Linked DNA regions of Nothobranchius furzeri. The protein of the gene in region 1 purifies or fractionates together with the protein of each later gene. This does not show direct contact. Links are inferred from orthologs where the notes say so. Each region holds a gene or a part of one and is shown on either strand. Other genes may lie near its edges. The genes, in order: rbm17, cherp and sf3a2.

The links.
Region 2: the proteins of rbm17 (region 1) and cherp purify together in Homo sapiens (co-immunoprecipitation; 4 studies listed by BioGRID and IntAct, counting the BioPlex papers as one, with this or other methods). This does not show direct contact. The link is inferred for Nothobranchius furzeri from reciprocal best matches to the Homo sapiens genes RBM17 and CHERP.
Region 3: the proteins of rbm17 (region 1) and sf3a2 purify together in Homo sapiens (affinity purification with mass spectrometry; 4 studies listed by BioGRID and IntAct, counting the BioPlex papers as one, with this or other methods). This does not show direct contact. The link is inferred for Nothobranchius furzeri from reciprocal best matches to the Homo sapiens genes RBM17 and SF3A2.

What each region holds. Positions count from the first base shown.
Region 1 is NC_091741.1:60,739,354-60,745,575, forward strand, and holds part of rbm17 (splicing factor 45), read right to left. Parts: intron 1,705-6,222; coding exon 1,628-1,704; intron 1,501-1,627; coding exon 1,402-1,500; intron 1,327-1,401; coding exon 1,254-1,326; intron 1-1,253. UniProt on the Homo sapiens protein: Splice factor that binds to the single-stranded 3'AG at the exon/intron border and promotes its utilization in the second catalytic step. Involved in the regulation of alternative splicing and the utilization of cryptic splice sites.
Region 2 is NC_091756.1:55,801,962-55,809,496, forward strand, and holds the start of cherp (calcium homeostasis endoplasmic reticulum protein), read left to right. Parts: upstream 1-2,662; 5' UTR 2,663-2,808; coding exon 2,809-2,833; intron 2,834-3,421; coding exon 3,422-3,595; intron 3,596-4,015; coding exon 4,016-4,185; intron 4,186-4,445; coding exon 4,446-4,583; intron 4,584-4,655; coding exon 4,656-4,807; intron 4,808-5,307; coding exon 5,308-5,419; intron 5,420-5,495; coding exon 5,496-5,585; intron 5,586-7,243; coding exon 7,244-7,430; intron 7,431-7,535. Other genes in the region: dohh (deoxyhypusine hydroxylase), read right to left, coding at 295-418. UniProt on the Homo sapiens protein: Involved in calcium homeostasis, growth and proliferation.
Region 3 is NC_091751.1:56,890,154-56,897,766, reverse strand, and holds sf3a2 (splicing factor 3A subunit 2), read right to left. Parts: upstream 4,717-7,613; 5' UTR 4,628-4,716; intron 3,889-4,627; 5' UTR 3,866-3,888; coding exon 3,668-3,865; intron 3,574-3,667; coding exon 3,527-3,573; intron 3,406-3,526; coding exon 3,296-3,405; intron 3,207-3,295; coding exon 3,157-3,206; intron 2,846-3,156; coding exon 2,705-2,845; intron 2,628-2,704; coding exon 2,559-2,627; intron 2,481-2,558; coding exon 2,229-2,480; 3' UTR 2,002-2,228; downstream 1-2,001. Other genes in the region: plekhj1 (pleckstrin homology domain-containing family J member 1), read left to right, coding at 7,074-7,167, 7,369-7,436, 7,511-7,577. UniProt on the Homo sapiens protein: Component of the 17S U2 SnRNP complex of the spliceosome, a large ribonucleoprotein complex that removes introns from transcribed pre-mRNAs.

The DNA.
Region 1 (6,222 bases):
TCATGCGGACGCTGAGCCGATCTGTCGTGGGGAAGAGGGAGCTGAGCCAGAAAGCCAGGCTCTCGATTTACCGGTCGATCTACGTCCCAATCCTCACCTATGGTCATGAGCTTTGGGTAATGACCGAAAGAACGAGATCGCGGATACAAGCGGCCAAAATGAGTTTCCTCCGTAGGGTGGCCGGGCTCAGCCTTAGAGATAGGGTGAGGAGCTCGGACATTCGGGAGGGACTCGGAGTAGAACCGCTGCTCCTCCGGATCGAAAGGAGCCAGTTGAGGTGGTTTGGGCATCTGGTCAGGATGCCTCCTGGACGCCTCCCCGGGGAGGTGTTTCGGGCATGTCCTGCCGGCAGAAGGCCCCCGGGTCGACCCAGGACACGTTGGAGAGGTTACATCTCCAATCTGGTCCGGGAACGCCTTGGGGTCCTGCCGGAGGAGCTGGTGGACAAGGCCGGGGAGAGGACGGCCTGGAGCTCCCTAATTGGGATGCTGCCCCCGCGACCCGGACCCGGATAAGCGGAGGAAGATGAAGACGAAGACGATAAAACATAGCCATAAAGATCCAGGACCCAATTATTACTGGATTAAATCTACAAACACATGAAAAGTAGTTTAACAAAAGACTTGTCAACAATTACACTTCTCTGTTCTACTGACTAACATTAAGGCTAAATACGCCATCGGCAGTGATTTTAGGGTCATTCGATGTCAGATCATCTCGGTACCCATCCCCAATCCTGTGTTTCATGACCCCTAGTGGGGACCTGACCTCAGCTTTGATAACCGATGACAATAATACAAACTGAACTGTAAGCGTGGGTTAGACTAGACAGAAGGAATAAACCTGAGACTTAAGTGGGGAATGAAAACAAAAGAACCAAGTGGTAAAATAAGTTGAAGATTCTATTACCGCCATGATCCTAGCATGCATTAAGAGATTTCTCCACTTAGTAACCCTTTTTGTTGACAAAACCAATCTTGTAGCATGACAGGTTCTTTAACGGTGCGCCCTGCTTTCAGTAAGCTGTGATGTAAGACCGGTTCTGTTGGTGCCGTGGGGAGACGACTGGGTTGCTAGGCCACATATGACATAACACCACAGGGAACCGAGTCTCCCCTTGTTTCAGATCTGGGCCAACTCATTTAGAGAGGGACACACTTTCACCCACATTATTAGAGCAGCTACACAATCATGGGAAGAAAGTGAAGCAATTATGTAAAGTTGATCTCTTATATGTGACGGTGAACACTGACCTTTGATGGCCGACTCGACCCGCTCAAACTCCAGAAATATCCTGACGGCTTCATCATCTAGCACTTCTGCGATCTGAGGAGAAAAAACATCTTTCTCTGTCTCATCTGATCACTTTACCTCCATCTACTTGATCTTCATTCTTCTTACCTCAAAAATGACACATTTAACAACTTTGCCATATTTTTCACACTCTTCTTTTGTCTCTCCCTCCAAGTCTTCGTCCACTTCTCCCCGACCCACCATGTTCTACATAATAAACGGGGGAAAATAACTTTATTATCTAACTTCAAACTGCTTTGACTCTGGTTTTCTTTCAGCAGAGGTTAATTCCAACCATGCTTGAGAAATTAATGATGGTGTAACAAAGACATACCCTCAACAGAACCACTTTAGTTGGGTTTTTCAGGATCTCAGTGAGTGGATTGGCATCTGACTTCTTGGAAGGATCCACTGATCGGTAAAAACAAACATTAGTCACATTTTTTCATTCGCAAAACAATATTTACAGGCTGCAGGTATGCTGGAGAATGTGTGGAACAAAAGGTTAACCTAGAACATGCGATAAATGAAACCATTCAGTGTCTTGTGTACTTTTCCCATTTATTTTAGCCGTTAACGTCAGGATAAAGCGGTGGTTTTATTGTGTTAAGCACGACTGGCTCTAAATGGGTCATTCAGGAACAAAAATGCTGTTAATCTTCCAGGAAATCTGTTGGAAAATGGTACAAATGTCTTGTTCAAATATACAAATAAAAACCAAGAGTATGAAAGAATAATGTCAATAGTTTAGTAACAGCAACCATTCATGTGTTATCTCCATTTCCACTTTCTGTTAAAGGAGCCTTCTCTGTATTATATATATATATATATATATATATATATATATATATATATATATATATATATCCATCCATCCATCCATCCATCCATACGCTTATCCGGAGTTGGGTCACGAAGGCGAGAGGCCCAGACTTCCCTCTCCCCAGCCAATTGGGCCAGCACTTCCGGGAGAATCCCAAGGCGTTCCCTGGCCAGGTGAGAGACATAGTCCCTCCACCGTGTCCTGGGTCTACATTTAGGTCTCTTCCCGGTTGGACGTGCCCAGAAAACCTCACCAGGGAGGCGTCCAGGAGGCATCCTGACCAGATGCCCGAGCCACCCTTAACTGGCTCCTCTCGATGTGGAGGAACAGCGGGTCTACTCCGAGCCCCTCCCAGATGACCGAGCTTCTCACCCTATCTCTAAGGGAGAGCCCAGCCACTCTTCAGAGAAAACTCATTTCGGCCGCTTGTATCCGCGTTCTCGTTCTTTCGGTCACTACCCAAAACTCATGACCATAGGTGAGGGTAGGAATGTTGATCGACCGGTAAATCGAGAGCTTCGCCTTCCGACTCAGCTCTCTCTTCACCACGACAGACCGGTACAACGCCCGCATCACTGCAGATGCAGCACCAATCCGTCTATCGATCTCACGCTCCAGTTTTCCCTCACTCGTGAACAAGACCCTGAAATACTTAAACTCCTCCACTTGGGGCAGGACCTCATCCCTGACCCAGAGAAGGCATTCTACCCTTTTCGGAATCAAGACTATGGTCTCAGATTTAGAGGAGCTGATTCTCATCCCAGCTGCTTCACACTCGGCTGTGAACCGCTCCAGCGAAAGCTGAAGATCACGTTCTGATGAAGCCAACAGGACCACATCATCTGCAAAAAGCAGAGACCTGATCCTCAGGCCACCAAAATGGATGCCCCCCACACCTTGGCTGGGCATCAGCCTCCACTGTTGAGGCGGCCGACCGGAGCTGTGGTCGAAGGATCATCGGTGCCTGTCGTGGTGGCAACTCCCGAACCCGCTGGTGGACACCGGCAGTTAGGGATGCTGTCAAGCTGAAGAAAGAGTCCTATCAGGTATTTCTGGCCTGTGGGACTCCAGAGGCAGCTGACAGATACCGGCTAGGGCTGCAACAAACGATTATTTGGATAATCGATTAATCGGATGGGGTCTCGACACGATTAATCGGATTACATGGGGAAATTTTTAAAAACTGCTAGGGAAACGTTATTTCTCTCCTTCCTTCACTTTATTTAACACAACATTATTAGAAAACAGTTCAATAGCAGAAAAACAACATGCCATCACCTAAATTGTCTTATAAGGTGTATAGACAGAGACCCTAAGCTACATCTATCTGTGACCTAAAATGCTTGGTCCAAGTTAAACAGCTTAAGGGCAATTCTCATCTGTTTTGTTTGATCTCATCTGTTGACATTTATTTTAAATGTAATTAAACATAGGCTGTGAATTAATCAAAATTGATCACTATTTCCAAAAATGACTGAAAAAATACCAAATAAAACAAAAGTAAATGAATGCCATCCTCCTTGTGATGATGCCCTGGGCAACTGCCATAAAGTCACACCAAGAAATGCTGCTGATCATTCCAATGATCCCAAATAGACTCACATTAGGCCACATGAAAGCAACTGAACCCAAAAATATATTAACCAGTATATAACTGCACTCTCACACAACACGCCTGCAGCAACAGTTAGGACTCCTCCCTCCCTTTTAAAAGCGTTTTTGCTTCTGAGGACATTGTGGTTGTAAAACCACATGCTAGTAGTCTGGCCCCGGTGTGATCAACCAGTTTCTGCGGGAATGTGACGGCGGAACCAGGGCCAGATTAACACTTTGTTGTACCCTGGGCAACAATATTCAAGGGCTCCATCATCACGACCCAAGGAACACCATAATGTGGTCACATACAGAATATTTTACTGTAATATGCAGTAAATATACTCAATACTTGAATGCCTGACAACACGTAACCCGCCCAGAGTAACCTTTGACCCACCTCGTGTGGACTGACCAATGAGGAGAGGGTCTTAACTTGAGGCCCTCTCTTCATCGGTCAGTCTGCATGAGACTGACTCTCAACTGACGTTCAGTCGTAGGCAGCGAAGCGTCTCTGTGCAGTGCAAAAGCCCGGGTGGACAGTTTGTTTAATTAGGGTGACCATATTTCCATTTCCAAACAAGAGGACAGGGGATCTGTGCCTATAACGTCACACTATGGCAACGCCACACAAACCATGTTGGGACCCATTTTTTGTAAGAACTAAATTAATATCAGATTCTGCCAATTAAAGGGCTCTAAAACAATTCATATGTAAATATTTTGCGTATTTAATGCAAAATCTAATTTTTCTGCTTTAGTGCTGCAACAAGGTTTTATTAATAATAAATTATTATACCTTTTGTTTTACTACAGCATCGGTAAGCTTCCTGTGCACAGATTATTAAGGATGCTTGTTTCAGCTGTGAGATTAGACGATATGATCAATGAAAAAATAAGTTGTCACACACTCCATGGACACTTTCAGAGAATCCACAAATAGTGGCTTTCAAATGGTTTTGTTACTTTTTACAAGTTTATAAAAGAAGCAGAGGAGACAGCATGTCTGATAATTTAGTTTTTCATCTGATAATATTAGAACATGTCAGTAATGTCTGAGGGGCTTTTATAAACACCGTATAACTAACACTACTGGAGAGGGCATGAATTACACAGAGGCTTCTGGGGAGCCCAGTTATTGGGGGGGGGGGGGGGGGGGATTTTGCCTTGGCCCCCAAAATGTCTTGAAACGGCCCTGGGTGTGTGACTGAGTTTTGAAGGTGATCTGAATTGTATCAGATGTATAAATATGACATGTGTAGAACTTATTGCTTTTTACTGGTAAAAACGTGTAGTGGAGATAAATCTACCTACATTTTACTTTTCAACACTTTGTTTGTTTTCTTGTTTTTATTGAACTATTTTCCTGTCCTGTCTGTCTCTCATCTTCCTGCATCTCCTCTTAATTCTCCAGAAAATCTGTTGCCTGGATTCTTACCTTTTCACCTCATCAGTTACTTTTGAGCAGATCAAAGGGATCTCCTGACCGAAAAGCGCAGAGCGCGTTTTCGATGCTGCGTCAGTGAGGTGACATCACCACAGCACAGGTGATGAGCTCCGCAGTAGCGAGCTTCAGGCACAAATAAGACAGAAAATAGAGAACATGTGCGGACATGAACGATCGTGTGCTAATTATAGTTTTGTGGTTGCGCCACTTTGAGAATGGACCGTGCGCTGGAAGCAGCTGCCTGGATCGCTGTGCAACAATGCGGAACCGGTTCGCAGCAGCGCAAGTCTGCCGGCTCTCCCTCGCGCTGATCTGCCGGCTCTCCCTTGCGCTGATCTGCGGCTCTCCCTCGCGCTGATCTGCGGCTCTCCCTCGCGCTGATCTGCGGCTCTCCCTCGCGCTGATCTGCGGCTCTCCCTCGCGCTGATCTGACTTGCTCTGCTCTGCGCGCAACGGCGGGCGGGAAGGGGGGGCGCTTTTGGAAGAGTTGTGCGACACAACAAATCGATGACGCAATTCGTTGCCAACGCTTTTAGTAATCGATTTTCATCGAATTTATCGATTCTTTGTTGCAGCCCTAATACCGGCAGTCCAAGCGGAACTCGGCTCGGATGGTCGCCAAGGCAAAAATCCAGGCATGGGAAGAGCTCGGTGAGACCATGGAGCAAGACTTCCATACAGCTTTGAGGATATTCTGGTCCACTATCCGGCGCCTAAGGGGGGAAAGCAGTGTGCTACCAACACTATCTATAGGGGGGACGTGTGCTGCTGACCTCTACTCGGGACGTTGTGGATCAGTGGGCAGAATACTTCGAAGACCTCCTCAATCCCACCAACACGTCTTCCAGTGAGGAAGCAGAGTCTGGGGACTTTGGGTTGGCATCTCTAATCTCTGGTGCTGAGGTCATTGAGGTGGTTAAAAAGCTCCTCTGTGGCAAGGCTCCAGGGGTGGATGAGATCCACCCGGAGTTCCTTAAGGCTCTGGATGTTGTGGGGCTGTGTTGGCTGATGTGGCTTTGCAATATCGCGTGGACATTGGGGGCAGTCCCACTGGACTGGCAGACCG
Region 2 (7,535 bases), on another chromosome or scaffold:
CGGGTTTTGTTTCAAAGCAGTTACGGTCCCAGTAGTCTGACTGTTATGATAACATAAAAAGCAGATGATCAGTAGATGAACAGCTGACATTATGGGATGGTTGATCTAGTCACAGTCATACAGTACCAATAACAAACATACTAAGGTAGTTCTTCATCACTAGAGGAAACCTGGAACATCCAGCATGGGTCTAATGAACCAACAAGTTCTTAAATATTTTGTAGTTAGTGGTTTTATTATTCGGTTTATGTGAGAAAGCATCAACCCAAAACCAGAAACACCCAGAAGACTTACCTCCCAGATTCCTCAGGGTGAACAAGGCTCTGAAGCGCTGGGTCAGGTTCCGTGCTGGGTCCACCAGGACTCGTCCTACCGCCGCTACCTGCTCCACGGTAGCCATGCTGCAGCCCAGAAACATACAGCCGTTACTCCGCTGTTGATCACCAGTTTAAACACCTACTGGGGAAACAGGTGAAGACCATTCTGACAATCAAATAATTACTTATTCCGTAGCTCTGTCAGAAAAGCCACTGTAACTTATCACCCAGCAGCACGTTTGTGCCCACTCACGGCTAATGGGGAGAGCACACCGTCAGCCAGCAGAGGCGCCGGTATCCGGTGGAAAACTATCACGTTTACCGTCTATAATTAAACGTTTATCACAAGCGACCAAGAAACAATCACAGAGATCTGCTGACAAGTTGAAGAAGGACAGTTGTATACAGACCCCACCGTGGCCGGAGAGTCTCACAGCGAAAAACGTCAGTTCTTCTTTAGCAGCGTTTAAACACCACGCTGGTGCATTACTGCCACCTAGTGGATTGGAGTGTGAGTGGTCAGTAGTTCATCCCTACTGCGTAAAGCTACGTTTATTTTTGTGTAAAACAAAATAGTGTCGAATATAAGTTTAAGACCCCTCGAAAACGGCAATTAAAATAAACAAATAAATAAATTACTTAATAAAATAATAATAATAATAATATAATTATTATTATTATTATTATTATTATTATTGTTGATGTTGATGATGTTATTATTATTATTATTGTTGTTGTTATTGTTATTATTATTGGGGGAAAGGAATGAGGTGGATAAATGTGAATCTTTATATACATTTTTTTAAATAAAATTTACATTAAAATGATTTTGCTTTGGACAGAAGTTGTTTAGTTTTGGTTATTTTCCTTCTGATGATGACACAGTGATTTATTTAATGGATTCTATGGTTGATGTTTACTCTGAGGGGCTAAAGCTGAAGCATGACTAAAGACAGAGCACATTCACAGTTTGTAAATCGTGACAAATGTTACTGAAAGGACTCAACCAAATTCTTTTCTACTAAAACTTTATTGATTTTAACATGGTTTTTCTTTCTTCATTCAGATAATCTGTATTCATCTCAGAGCTGCAGCCGTGCATCATCCTGTATGGGAAAGAAAGTTGTTTACTTTAGTTTTCTAACCAGGCACGCTTTAAAAATGAGATGTTGGAAGAAAAGCTAAGAAAGTTGTTTTGAATGAGTTTCTGGTTGAATCTGTTCACATTGAGATAAAACCATTTTTTCTTGACTGTTTCTGAAGCTGCTCAAAGGAAACCGTTCACTGTGCACTATACCTCACTTTTTGAAATTCGTTTCTAATTGTGATTCTGGTTGTTTAAAATGAACTGATTATTTGTACATCCTGTAAATTTGTGCCAATTTCACAAATTCACATGAACCTGCAAGGAAGGAATGTGTGATTTAACAAAATCTTGTTCAACTGGTATTATTTCCAGTTTAAATTGGTTTAATTCAGAGTTTACATATCAGTTGGATACAAAGGCACAACTCTTTAATCGTGTGATTTTCTTTGACAGTCGGACATGAATCTCCTTTTGTTATCATTCTGACAAAGAAAATGACATTTATGGTGAAGAGGAGAATCCTGGAAAGTCTGCATACGTCTGTTGATGCTGATGAACCGTGTGATCTCTGTCTACCAAGCCAGGTGATGAGCATCCAGCTGTGCAGGACACCATGCGATTGTGTGGAGGCAGTACCAGTGAGTTACTGAAGACTCAAATTGTACTTAGCAGGGTTGCCAAAAATGTCTAATGTATAAATTTGTAGTTACATACTGCAGTCAGCAATGTGCACAGCAAAATCTGTCAGAAAATAATTAAAATCATCCAAGAAAATTTCTGTCTCATTCTGTTTGGTTGTTACATGAGAAATTTATTTTGGACTCATTTGGGTTCACCTCTAAATCCTATTTTCAAGTTTTCAACTTCTGATGAACTTCAGAAACCAAAACTGACTGAGGGGTGATGTTTTGTGAGAAACGGCACTCCAGATGAGTGATTACTTCAACAATAGTTTCTCCGTGAGTCGAAATTTTAAGTTTATTGTTAATTTCTAGGTATTCTTATATTTTTCATGAATCCTCAGTTTTACGATCTGCAATGGTATCTTTTTCATTCAGTATTATCTGGAAACTTTCCAGATCTGATAGCTTTGAAATGTAATTGGCTAAGGCCACAAAGCAACATGAAATTTATGAAAATCTTCAAAACCAGTTCAAAACTCCCAATATGCGGTCGTTTCCCCTCCTACACCTAGGGGGTGCTATGTGCAGTCAGACTGCAGTTTTCAGCTGGGCCCGCGCTGTTTCTACTTACAATTTCCGGTATTTTGCAGGGTCAAACGACGCCAATGTTTCTGTGAGGACAATTTGATAAAAGGCTAAAACACAAATTAAATATTAACATATTTGTGTCCGATATATATACTGGCCGGTGTTTATACACATTCTGAGTGATCATAACGTCATGGAAATCCCCAATCCGCCTGAAGGTGAGCGGAAGCCCGCTGCGTTTCTAATTTGATTCAGCGTGATGCTATTTTGCTCAGCTAACGTTAGCTTACCTTACAGTTAGCTTGAGACAGCATTTAATTGATATTATGCAATTTTTTCAGGTCCAGGTTACATTGAAGCTTTGTTATAATAAATTAGAAACATTTAGTCAGCCGTAATTACATTTCAATGTTTACGTTTTAGTGGAATTAACTTTCCTGGTTGCTAACATTTTCAGTAAAATCCCGATTAATCCAGAGAAGTGAGGTAACTGTGTGTCGAACCAAATTTGTATATCTTTTCAACCTCGTTCCTAAAGTATCCTTACACGAGAAACCAAACCTCAGTAGCAGCAGCAGAGAGGAAATAGTTTTTAATATTTTGCGCAAGTTGGTGTTTGATCCTTGGGGTTACACAGAACCGAGTCTGGGTCAGATGCCTCAGTTCTGCTTCTCCGGTTTAATGTTGGTAAAAAAATTAAGTTTAATTGTTTTTAGGATTTCAAACATAAAATATCATTTGACATTTTAGTGTAAATCATAGTTAAATCTTTGTTTGGTCTTTTTAACCCAAATTCTTCATTTCAGATCAGGAACTGAGGAATGTGATTGACAAACTTGCACAGTTTGTTGCACGAAATGGTCCGGAGTTTGAAAAGATGACGATGGAGAAACAGAAGGACAACCCCAAGTTTTCCTTTCTTTTTGGTGGAGATTACTTCAGCTACTACAAGTGCAGACTTGCAATGGAGCAACAACAACGTACGTAGTGAAAAGGACTGTCCACCAGTTTGGCAGCCACAAACATGTTCAAGCACACCGTCTCAGGCTGGACATGCAGACCACCAAGTTACAGTGTTCTTCGTGGCTTCGTTCAGTCTCATTTTAGAAAAAAGAGCCATCATGCGATTGAATTAGCTAGACATGACATTTTAGACTTTGAAGATATTTGTTTTGTTTTCAGGCGAATTTCCTTGTTTTGAGATCTTATTGTGTCATCTTAGCTGTATCTCCATGATGGGGCTGATGAAAATCCTTCATAATGATGGCCTTTTGGCAGTTTGAGCAGTTCATGGATTATCTGTGCCTGAGCTTCAGCTGCATACATTATTGAAGTTTTTGATTTAAGTCCCCCAAACCTTCTGACTTGAGTTTATGGTTCTTCCTCCTGGTGTTTTGTAGATATATTCATCCCCACTGCCAAAGATGTGGCGGACCTCCCTCCTTTGTCAATTCAGATGATTGCTCCACCTACAGTTCCTCCACCAGCTGCACCCCCTGTCGATGAGCTCATCCAACAGAGCCAGTGGAATATGCAGCAGCAGGAGCAACACCTGCACACACTAAGACAGGTGCAAAGAACAGATCCTCTTGTTTTCAAGCGACGCACAAAGATTGTAGAAGATTACTTTTATATGTCTGAGTGTCAAACAGTAGCTGGCAGATGTATCATGTTGTAAAAGAGGAAAAAGTTGTTTTTTAAAGACACCAAACACATTTCACTGGCTGTAGTACTCGTTTCAGTAGCAAACGTAACACCTGCTACATTCACAGAAACATTGCTAGAAAAGAAATTTGAAATAATATAATTAATTTATTAATTTTTCCATAGGAACAAGTAACCGCTGCCATCGCCTTGGCTATGGAGCAACAGACCCAGAAGCTTCTGCTTGAAACCCAGTTGGACATCACAGAGTTCGACAACCTGCTGCAGCCAATCATAGACACCTGCACCAAAGATGCCATCTCGGTAAGCATGTTACCACGGAGACCATGCCTTGCGTAGACTTGGACATCCCACTATTTCTCCTCTTTGACTCAGGCTGGTAAGAATTGGATGTTCACCAATGCCAAGACTCTGCAGCACTGTGAGCTGATGGCGTCGCATCTTCGGAACCGCATCACTGTTGACGACGCTCATTTTGAACTCCGCCTTCACCTCATTTACTTAACCAATGATGTTCTTCACCACTGGTAAACAAAACCTTCCTAAAACCTCACCCATCAGATGCATGATGTCATCTTGCCAACAGATGTTCTCTTCTAACTCCTTTAGCAGAAACTTCAGATTTAGTTAAAAGTCCCAGATTAATTCTCTTTGGAGTCGTTAAAACTTTAAATTCCGTTAGAAGTTTTATTTCTGCTGGTCAGCTGTTCCAAACTTGAGGAGCTTGTCGTCCGTCTCTGGTTTACAGCCTCTGCTAAATGTACTTCTGGATTTTAACATCGCTGTATGACCTCAGATGACGCATCAGAATTTTTTTTTAACGATGATTTTGGTATTGTAAAAAACATTTCTATAAATGAATAATTAAACAATTTAAAATAATTACACAATAAAAGCTGGTATACTGTGACACAAACATCAATCTTGGTTTTAAAAACAATTCATGTGTAGAACTCCGTCCTTGGTGATAAAAGTAAATATGATTTTGTTGTTTCTGTAATGTGATCTGCTTTATGTTGACTCACAGCCAGCGGAAGCAGCAGAAGGATTTATTGACAGCTCTGCAGAAGGTCGTTGTTCCCATCTACTGTACCAGCTTTCTTGCAGTAGAAGAAGAAAAGCAGCAGAAGATTACCCGGGTAACACTTCTTGGGACTTATTTTCAGATGAAAATGTCTCTTCCACAAAATGTTGAACATCATTGTTTCCTTACAGTTGTTGCAGCTATGGGAGAAGAACGGCTACTTTGATGAGGAGACCATTCAGCAGCTCCAGAATCCAGCGTTGGGCCTTGGACAGTACCAGGTGTGTAGAGAAAACACAAAGTCGGTGTAGGTAGGTAGGTAGGTAGGTAGGTAGTAGGGTTGTCACGGTATGAAAATTTAACCTCACGGTTATTGTGACCAAAATTATCACGGTTTTCGGTATTATCGCGGTATTTTTTAAACGGTGTTGCATATGTTCAGAAAGCATTGATAGTCCTGTTCTACACAAACTGAAATAGTTCTGAAAAGGTTTAACAGTATTTATTAAACCTAAAATAACACAAAGCCTTAGCAAAAGTGCAACTTTTCACAAGTAAAGGAACAAATAGCTTATTTTTCTGGAACATGTTACAGTAGTCAGTGCAGGTTTAAATTATACAAATCCAAACATTCAAAACATAAACAATATGTAAACAAATCAAAGAAACACCACTTGTTTTCTCATATACTTGTTTTCTTCATTATCAAAATGAAAATCTAAAACTCCAGTCCACACTTGACTTGAGCACTGTACAAGTCAACCTTAAAAAATATGTATTTAAAATAAATAGCCACTTTAAACAAATTACTAAAATAACTACTACACTATGTAATCAAATCCAAATGTTCAAGTATAAATGGCATTGAATAAGTAAACAAATCAATGACAAGGAACTAATTGTATATTTCTCTTCATCATCAACAAATAAGATGCTTCATCCAGCAACAGGGTGTCCGTGACACGGTTTAAATGCTGGCAGAGGACGCTGCGGCTGCAGTCTATAGTGACTCGTTGCATTCTCCCTCAACCAAAAGTCCTCACGTCATGCATTTCAGCTAAAATGCTAATGTTATCTTACCTTGCACTGGCTGTAGAGACGTGGGTGATCGTCACGCAGATGTGCCATTAGATTCGAAGTGTTGCTGCCTTCTGCAGACACTTGTTTCCTGCACGTTCTGCAAACGGGATAGCCGTCTTCTATTAACTGTCCCTCAGCATTTTTCAGAAATCCCAAATATGCCCATACTTCCGATTTAGTCTTCTTTGAGGGCTGATGGATGTCCTGGGCGCTGCCGTCGCCTCCTTCGGCCATTATTTCAGCTTCAAAGTTTTGGTGCTGTTGCAAATTAAAAAGTGCGTGTGCGCGCCGCGGGAACTTCAGCTGAAGCGACGGTGGCTGGTAAGGGTCATCGCGCCGAAACCACGGCCACGGTAAACCCACCGAGATAATTTAGTTTTTTAAAAACTGGACGGTTATTTTTATTGTCAACTTTTTTACCGGGGTTTACCGCTATACCGGTTACCGTGACAACCCTAGTAGGTAGGTAGGTAGGTAGGTAGGTAGGGAGGGAGGGAGGGAGGGAGGGAGGGAGGGAGGGAGGGAGGGAGGGAGGGAGGGAGGGAGAGAGAGAGAGAGAGAGAGAGAGAGAGAGAGAGAGAGAGAGAGAGAGAGAGAGAGAGAGAGAGAGAGAGAGAGAGAGAGAGAGAGAGAGAGAGAGAGAGAGAGAGAGAGAGAGAGAGAGAGAGAGAGAGAGAGAGAGAGAGAGAGAGAGAGAGAGAGAGAGAGAGAGAGAGAGAGAGAGAGAGAGAGAGAGAGAGAGAGATGGGTTTTTCATTCATGTTTTTCTTTATTATTTACCCAACATTTAGAAAAGCAAAGTTGATGTTATTAATTATTGTGACGTGGACGTTTCTCACTGCTTTCCCTTGTCTCTCAGGCCTCCCTGATAACGGAGTATGCTGCCGTGGTGCAGCCGATCCAGCTGGCCTTCCAGCAGCAGATTCAGACTCTGAAGTCTCAGCATGATGAGTTTGTTGTTAGCCTGAAGCAGCAGTCACAACCTGCCCCTGTGGGCCAGAGCCCTGCTGAATCCGAAACGGTTGCGCCTATGACCACACCAGCTGGTGAGAAGACTAAATCAGTTTCAAAGCATGTTATGTTAAAAGCTAAAAGTCAGATTCACTTTTGTCAGTTAACTCATTCACTGCCAGTGTTTTTGAGCATTTTTA
Region 3 (7,613 bases), on another chromosome or scaffold:
ACTGCCAGTTTAAAAAATGCTGCTTCTAGAAAATTTAGGATGGAAAAAGGACATCCATGGCATTCCTAGAAGGCATAACTGAAACACTTTTATAGAGAGTGTTGAGAATTTTCTTAAACAAATTACTACTAGCAGTCGTGACCGATTAAACCCTGCACCAAACCTGAATCGTACATTTATCGGTTTAGTCAAGATGTCTGCTCACTCGGGCCATTTACCAATGTTCATACATTTTATATATTTTTCTACCATCGATGTATAATCTTTTCCCTGTATGGTTTGTTTAAAACGTTATTTAAATGTATTAGCTCGGTTCAAAATTTGACCTTCAGTATGATCAAAGTGATGGAGAATACCCTGAAGACAGCGATGGCTAGCTAATTTAGCAGGCTAGCTGCCGACGATCCTCAGCGAGCCGAGCGGATTTTTAACGGGCTTCCGGTGGGTAGAAAAACTGAGGTTATCGCGTGTGTTACAGCAAGTTACAGTGACTTACGTGTAAACGATATGAATTACATAACAAACCAACTAAAACAGCATCAAAATGTTATGTGATGGCACGTTTTAAGCTTTGAAGGAATCTTAAAGCATGCTTTCCGTTATCATCAAGCTAACCGCGGCTAGCTTGACGTTAACTAGCCGCGGTTAGCTGAGGAGTTGCTAATGTTAGCGTCGTCAACGAAAGAGAGCGCTCACCTGTTTTCTCTGGCGGTTTACAGATCACAGTAAATCGTTTTTACTGCAAAAATACATGACTGAATCTCCGTTTCGTTAACTTACTCTTGTTCTTTCACGAACACCACCACTCTTTGGCTTCCAGGCTAGCCTTTGGGTGTATTTTATGTCCAACAGAATCCCTGCTCACAGCCGCAAATTCCGCTTCTTCCTTCCCCCGGTCCGCTGATGCCTGTCAGCTGACCCGCCGTCTTTACGAACGACTGTTCCGTTGTGACAGGAAAAGGCGTGGCTGGTGCGATGTGTAAACCGCACCCAGGCCTTGAAATGATAAGCCACGCAGGCTAATATTCGTTAATTGTCTGGTATTTTACAATTATATAGGTCAGCCTCCTTTACAAAAAATATATCAGAACATGTCAAAATATATTGACAAAATATGAGGTACGGACGCTGTCAGAATAAAAAAAAACGTAGTCAGGTTAAACTGTGCGCATATTGTTAAATAGATGTGCCTAACTAGAAACATAATTTCATCCCCCACTTGTGATTAAATGGGGCAAATGCTGTAAACGACTCTAGAGCGCCCCCCGTTGGTTACTCGTGTAAGGCAGAAAATCTACTGCAAACATGAGCTACAAAAATCGTGATTAACGATTCTTACAAATAGATTGTATGAAACATTATACAAATTCTGCTAAATACATAAACATAAATTCAGTTTGTCACATCTCCGAGGTGAAATGCCCAAACAAAGGCTCCAAACTGGGCCAGTGGCAGCGAAGGGTAAGGCGAACACTTTTGCAATGCCATGGAGCATCTTCGAAAGTCTTCTGCCAGAGAAAGCAATGCTGATGGATATCTTCAGAGGTCTTCATTGCAGCAGACTGGAGTGTCCACAGACACAGGACAAAGAAACTCTTGAATGATATTTGGCGTGGAGCACATCAAATTTTTTTGAGAATGTTCTCTAATCCATAGTTTGTGATTACCAACAGTCCTCAAAAGGTTTCCAATTGGGGTCATGGTCACCCCTGGAAACTTGGGTCACAAAAAAATAAAACATCTGTGTGTTCAGCAGAAGTTCATAAAATTAAAACATTTTATTTTAAAAAGATTTTATGAGTACATACACTGAATACATAGTCTGAATAATTGATACCAAAATGAAAACTGCTGTTAAAATATAATTCAAACTGATTTAGGCAGTGTTGAAGATCAATTTAAATACAGAAAAATCAATTTTGTTGATTTGTTTTATTTTAACCTGATCAGAGTAAACTTCAGATAATTCTCTGTATTTTTTGTAGAACAAACACTCAGGTATTTTCAGTATTTGTGTATTTTAATTAAAAAATGGACATAAGAAATAAAAATGTGTCCAGATATTAGTTTACAAGAGGACGATAATGTTTCCATAACATTTAGCTTTAGAATTTTATTTTTAGGCAAACAAAGTTATGAAAATCTACTGAAGATATCCAACATCCTAAAAATACAAAACAGGCAGAGCAGAACAACTGACCACCAATGCAATTTCTAACAGCAAATTATCACTGCATAAGGCCCTCTGGGGGAGGTGGCCTCATTGGCATGGGGGGCATGGGCATTTGTGGGGGCATTTGGGGGGGACCTGGTGCCCCGGGTGGCAGAGGAGGAACAGACATCCCTCCTGGTGGTGGAGGTGGAAGACCGTCGTTTGATGGGTGGCCACTCATAAGTGAAGCGGGGTGCTTTAAGTTGCCAGGAGGAGCTGGACCACCAGAAATGGCTTTCTCCATTTTAAAGTGGAACTGCAGGAAAAACTGAACGAAAACAAAACATTCATACATTAGAAAATTTTTTAAATTAGTTTTTTAGTAAAAACAAAGCAGAGTCAGTACCTGTTTAGTTTCCCTGTTCCAGTGAGTCCAGAAGCGGTTTTCTGCTTTATCAATTTCCCTGCTGGGGACCTTAAAGGAGCAAACATTTTAATGTTACGGAAATGTGACACATGAGCACAATGACAAAAATTACAGTTTTCATCCACCTTAAAGGAAATAGTTTCATATGGTTCAGCAGCAAACAGCAGGTACTGCCAGCGACGGTCAGGAGGCTCGATACGCTGCTCATAAGCAGACATGAAACGGTGCCTGGGTCCAATTCCTTCAGCAACCTCTGGATAGTCGATCTGATTAATATGGGAAATAAAAACAACTTGTCAGATGTTGTAACATCTGGTTATTATTGCCCTGATAGGAACTATAGGAGTTTGTTTTGTATCTGCAACGCATCTTCAAGTGGTGTCCACAATGGGGTCATACAATGGGAGCAAAACTGTTATATTGGGCTGGAAAATAATTAAAGTGGAGCTAAACATATGATGGCATTTAACTTTGGTTTCACACGAACAATAAAGCATAAAGCCTATTATCAAGTGTCTCAGATTCCCAGAAACACAGCAGGATTTTTCCAGAATTAAAATATATTTTTTATTTTCACCTGAAAAAGTAAAGACTGCTGACCAGTCTCTGGGTCCCTCTGTTTTGTCACTGTGAAAAAAAGAGAAAGACGAGGATCAAAAGTTGTTACAAAAAGCCAAATAATGTTGATCTAATATAGAACCATGCAGCCAGTGTACCTTTGTATCCTGGTCGACCGATTTTGACAAACTTCTTGACCTCAACTTTAACCTTTGCTGGAGCTGGTTGAGCCGGCGCTTCTTTTGCCTCTTTGGCTGCTCTTCGTGCTCTAAAACACCAAATAGAAAAGATTTAACTCAGAAAGAAAAAATTATACAGGAAAATGTTTACTGACAAATATTGAACTAGTAGCAATTAATTGTGTTAGAGAATGTTTTAGGTTGACTTACAAATTGGTCTGATGCTTCTTTCCCTGTGTGTGAGCCAAGTAGCTGCCCTAAAATCAAGTAGAGGGTTTTCTTTAGAAACACAATTCCCAAATATCAAAAATTCTAACATAGCCCAATCCAATCCGTTAAGTGCCTCCTCACCTCATTGTTGTGAAGTGTCAAACAAAGTTTGCATTCATAAGAACCTAAATGATTCTTCATAAAATAGGGGTCCTTGTTGATGTCGATGGTCTCTAGAGCCAGCTGACGTAACCGTTCACGCCTGTCCCGGTTACTCTCAGAGGCAGACGCCACCCCTCCACTTCCAGTCTTCCCTCCAGCTCGATGCTGGAAATCCATTTTTTTGAAGTGATGAACTCAGTCTAAAGACAACATAAACATATAGCATCAAAGGGACAGACCAAACATAATGTATCGTGTATTTCTTCAAATAAACACAAAACAAAAAACAGAAAAAGCCAGTTCAGTTAAAACTGAACCCCTGGTGTTTTATTTTTACCATCCCTATAAAACTGAGAAACATATGCTATTTCAAATGTAGAAAACATTCACAACTATAAGTACTGTACAAAGCAGTATGCACGTAGTAACACTATCATAAATATAAATTCAACAACTTTCATATAATTGCTGATAAAATGGTAACGCTATGTGTTACAGCAGCCAGAATGAATATCTGAGCGGCACAGTTCCTTAAATGTAGTATTAATAGTGAACATTAGTCAGGACTGTATATGTATGTATGCGTGTATGTGTTAAATCTATAACTCAAATCATAAAGACTTTCTTCCCGACACCCCTTTCATCAATTTATCAATTTGTCATGATTCTAGGTTGAAACGTCTTAATTTTTAATAACATAACTAGAAAATCCCTATATTGAACTATCCTTTCGCGCACATTTTACTGTTAGCATTTAGCATCGATGGACGTCGTTCTGACAATGCTAACAGTGCTACCATATATGCAAGGATAGTTTTAAACCTACCAAAATGAACAAACTATCAGAATGAAATTAAATATAGCCTAATCAATGTTTTAGCGTTACTGCTCAGCGAACTGCACAACAAAATACTAGCTAAATATTATAAATAAACTTACGTTCTCCCAAACAAATCTAACGACAAACTGTGATGGACAGAATTGTTTTGCGCATGCGTGTTGGTTCTCAGCTTAAGCAGTTCATAAATAGTTTCAAACATTCATTGCCATCTAGTGGTCAGGAGTAAAACTGACCGACGAACAAACGTTTGCGGATAAAAGCATATAATAAAGACCTAAGAGATTAGTTTATTTAGGAGTAAAGGGCTACATTTAAAATGTGAAAAATAAATTAAAAAAACGATATGAAACATTTGCATTTTTGTTTATTTATTTAATATGTTCTCTTTAATTTTGGATCAATTGTTTGTATTATTTCTTTTGCTATGGTTTTGTTTCCCAACTTTTATTGATTTTGTTGCTTTCACTTTTAGGGTCTGGATTTAAACTAATTGTAGATTTAGACAAGGTGTTGGACCGCATCTCTCGGGGGACCCTGTGGGGGTACTTTGGGAGTATGGGGTACCAGGCCCTCTGATAGGGGCTGTAAGGTCCCTATATGACTGGTGTCAGTGCTTGGTCCGCATTGCCAGCAGTAGGCCGGGTTCGTTTCCGGTGAGAGGTTGACTCTGCCAAGGCTGCCCTTTGTCACCAATTCTATTCATAACTTTTATGGAGAATTTCGAGGCACAGCCAAAGTGTTGAAGGCATTCATTTTGGTGGCCTAAGGATGGGGTCTCTGCTTTTTGCAGATGACATGGTCCTGATGGCTTCATCAGAACGTGATCTCCGTCTCTCACTGGAGCAGTTCACAAACGAATGTGAAGCAGCTGGGATGAGCATCAGCTCCTCTAAATCCGAGACTATGGTCCTGAGTCAGAAAAGGGTAGAATGCCTTCTCTGGGTCCAGGGATGAGATCCTGCCCCAAGTGGAGGAGTTTATACATCTCAGGGTCTTGTTCACGAGTGAGGGAAAGATGGCGAGTGAGATTTACAGGTGGGATGAGATCGTGTCTGCAGTAATGCGGACGTTGTACCGATCTGTCGTAGTGAAGAGAGAGCTGAGCCAGAAGGCGAAGCTCTCGATTTACCGGCCGATCTATGTTCCTACCCTCACCTTTAGTCATGAGCTTTGGGTAGTGACCAAAAGAACGAGATTGCAGATACAAGAAGCCAAAATTAGTTTTCTCTGCAGGGTTTCTGGGCTCTCACTTAGAGATAGGGTGAGAAGTTCAGTCATCCGGAGGGGCTCGGTGTAGAGGAGCCAGTTGAGGTGGCTCAGGCATCTGATTAGGATGCCTCCTAGATGCCTCCATGGTGAGGTTTTCTGAGCATGTCCAACCTGGAGGAGACCTAAAGAAGACCCAGGACATGTTGGAGGGACTATGTCACACGAATGGCAAGGGAACGCCTTGGGATTCCCCTGGAGGAGCTGGCCCAACCTGGGGAGGGCCTCTTAGCTTAGGCTGCTGCCCCCACAAGCTGACTCCATATAAGCAGAAGAAAACAGATGGATGCTTTTGCTTTGTCAATTTTGCTAAACCCATTTTTCACTACACTTAGCTCTCATGGAGCACGAGCTTTGAATTTGATGAGCTAGTATCAGCAGTTTAAACAGGCATAAAACCAACCAGTTCAACATTTGGTGTTATTCCAGTTATTTAATTTAACAAGGAATCTTTTCAATACTCTTTTCTCCCAATCATGGATTTTTAAATCAATGTGCTTCATTTTAAGTCTTGCAATATTATTTTGCGAATCAATTTTTATACTGCAACGTTTTGTCGTGGCATAGTAGTACTTTTCAGTTAAGAAAAAGAAGAACATAACCTGAACAGAGTGATGTTTGATTTTTTTCTAAAATGTAATAATTATTTTCATTTTAAAATACTTCAGGAAATATTTTGCTATATGTGCCACGGTTTAACAAAAGAAAATAGTAAGTCCTGTAAGAAAATAAAGTAATTTATAATTCAATGTTTATAAAACAATAGGAAAAACTAGAAAAATTATTTTGTAGTTGCAGGGCACGGGACAAAAACTACCTCAAGTAATGAGTAAATGTTTATTGTTCAGTCAGAAGCACTCAAACATATATTTAATGTATTTGAGGAACATAAAGTTTTAATATTAATCAGTGAACGTTTATAAAGTTATCTATCCAGACATCATGCAACTCCTCGCTCTTACGAGCCATTTAAGCGTTAGCCCACTAGGTGGCGAAAGCGTATTTCTATTTGGTTTAACAAGCACCGTTAAACTCTCCACTAGAAGAAGAACCGATCAGCGTTTCCTGTTTGTTTAGCAGATGCCGTTCACTTGACTTTACTTCACCCTGGAAATAACCAAACACTCTCCATCACGTTTTCAGGACATCGGATAAAGAATCAGAATAAGTCGACATGATAAACAACGAAACTACTGCATTTATATTATTATTTTAACTCTATTTGAAATGTTTTGGTCGTAGAGACTAGCAAAGGTGTCCCCCCTCCCATTTTACGCGATGCGTTTCAACGAGAGGGAGCTGGTCTCTCTGAGCCGCCAGCCTTCAGAGATGGCCGCTGAAATGGGAATGCGAGGTCCGAAGAAAGGAGACGGTAAGACCTGTTACTTTCTCCGTCACTTTTCACTTCCGCTTGGTGTTATTTTGGGTCATATCGGTGAAACTGATCATCTCTCTCTCTCTCTCTCTCTCTCTCTCTCTCTCTCTCTCTCTCTCTCTCTCTCTCTCTCTCTCTCTCTCTCTCTCTCTCTCTCTCTGTGTGTGTACGTGTACGCGCGTGCGTGTGTGTTTTCAGTTGTCAAGAGGCGGCTGGTGAAACTCGTAGTTAACTTCCTTTTTTACTTCCGGACAGATGAGGAGGAGGTTAGATGAGTTTTTTTTCTCTGTCCCTGATGATGAGCTGTAACATTTTAATGAGTTCAGTGTTTATTTTTCAGCCAATTGGAGCCTTGTTGTTGGAGCAGTGCCGGGTGGAGAAAGAGGACAGTCAGACCTTCTCTATTAGTGAGCCCCAGACTCCCTTTCTGTGTTGATTTCTTA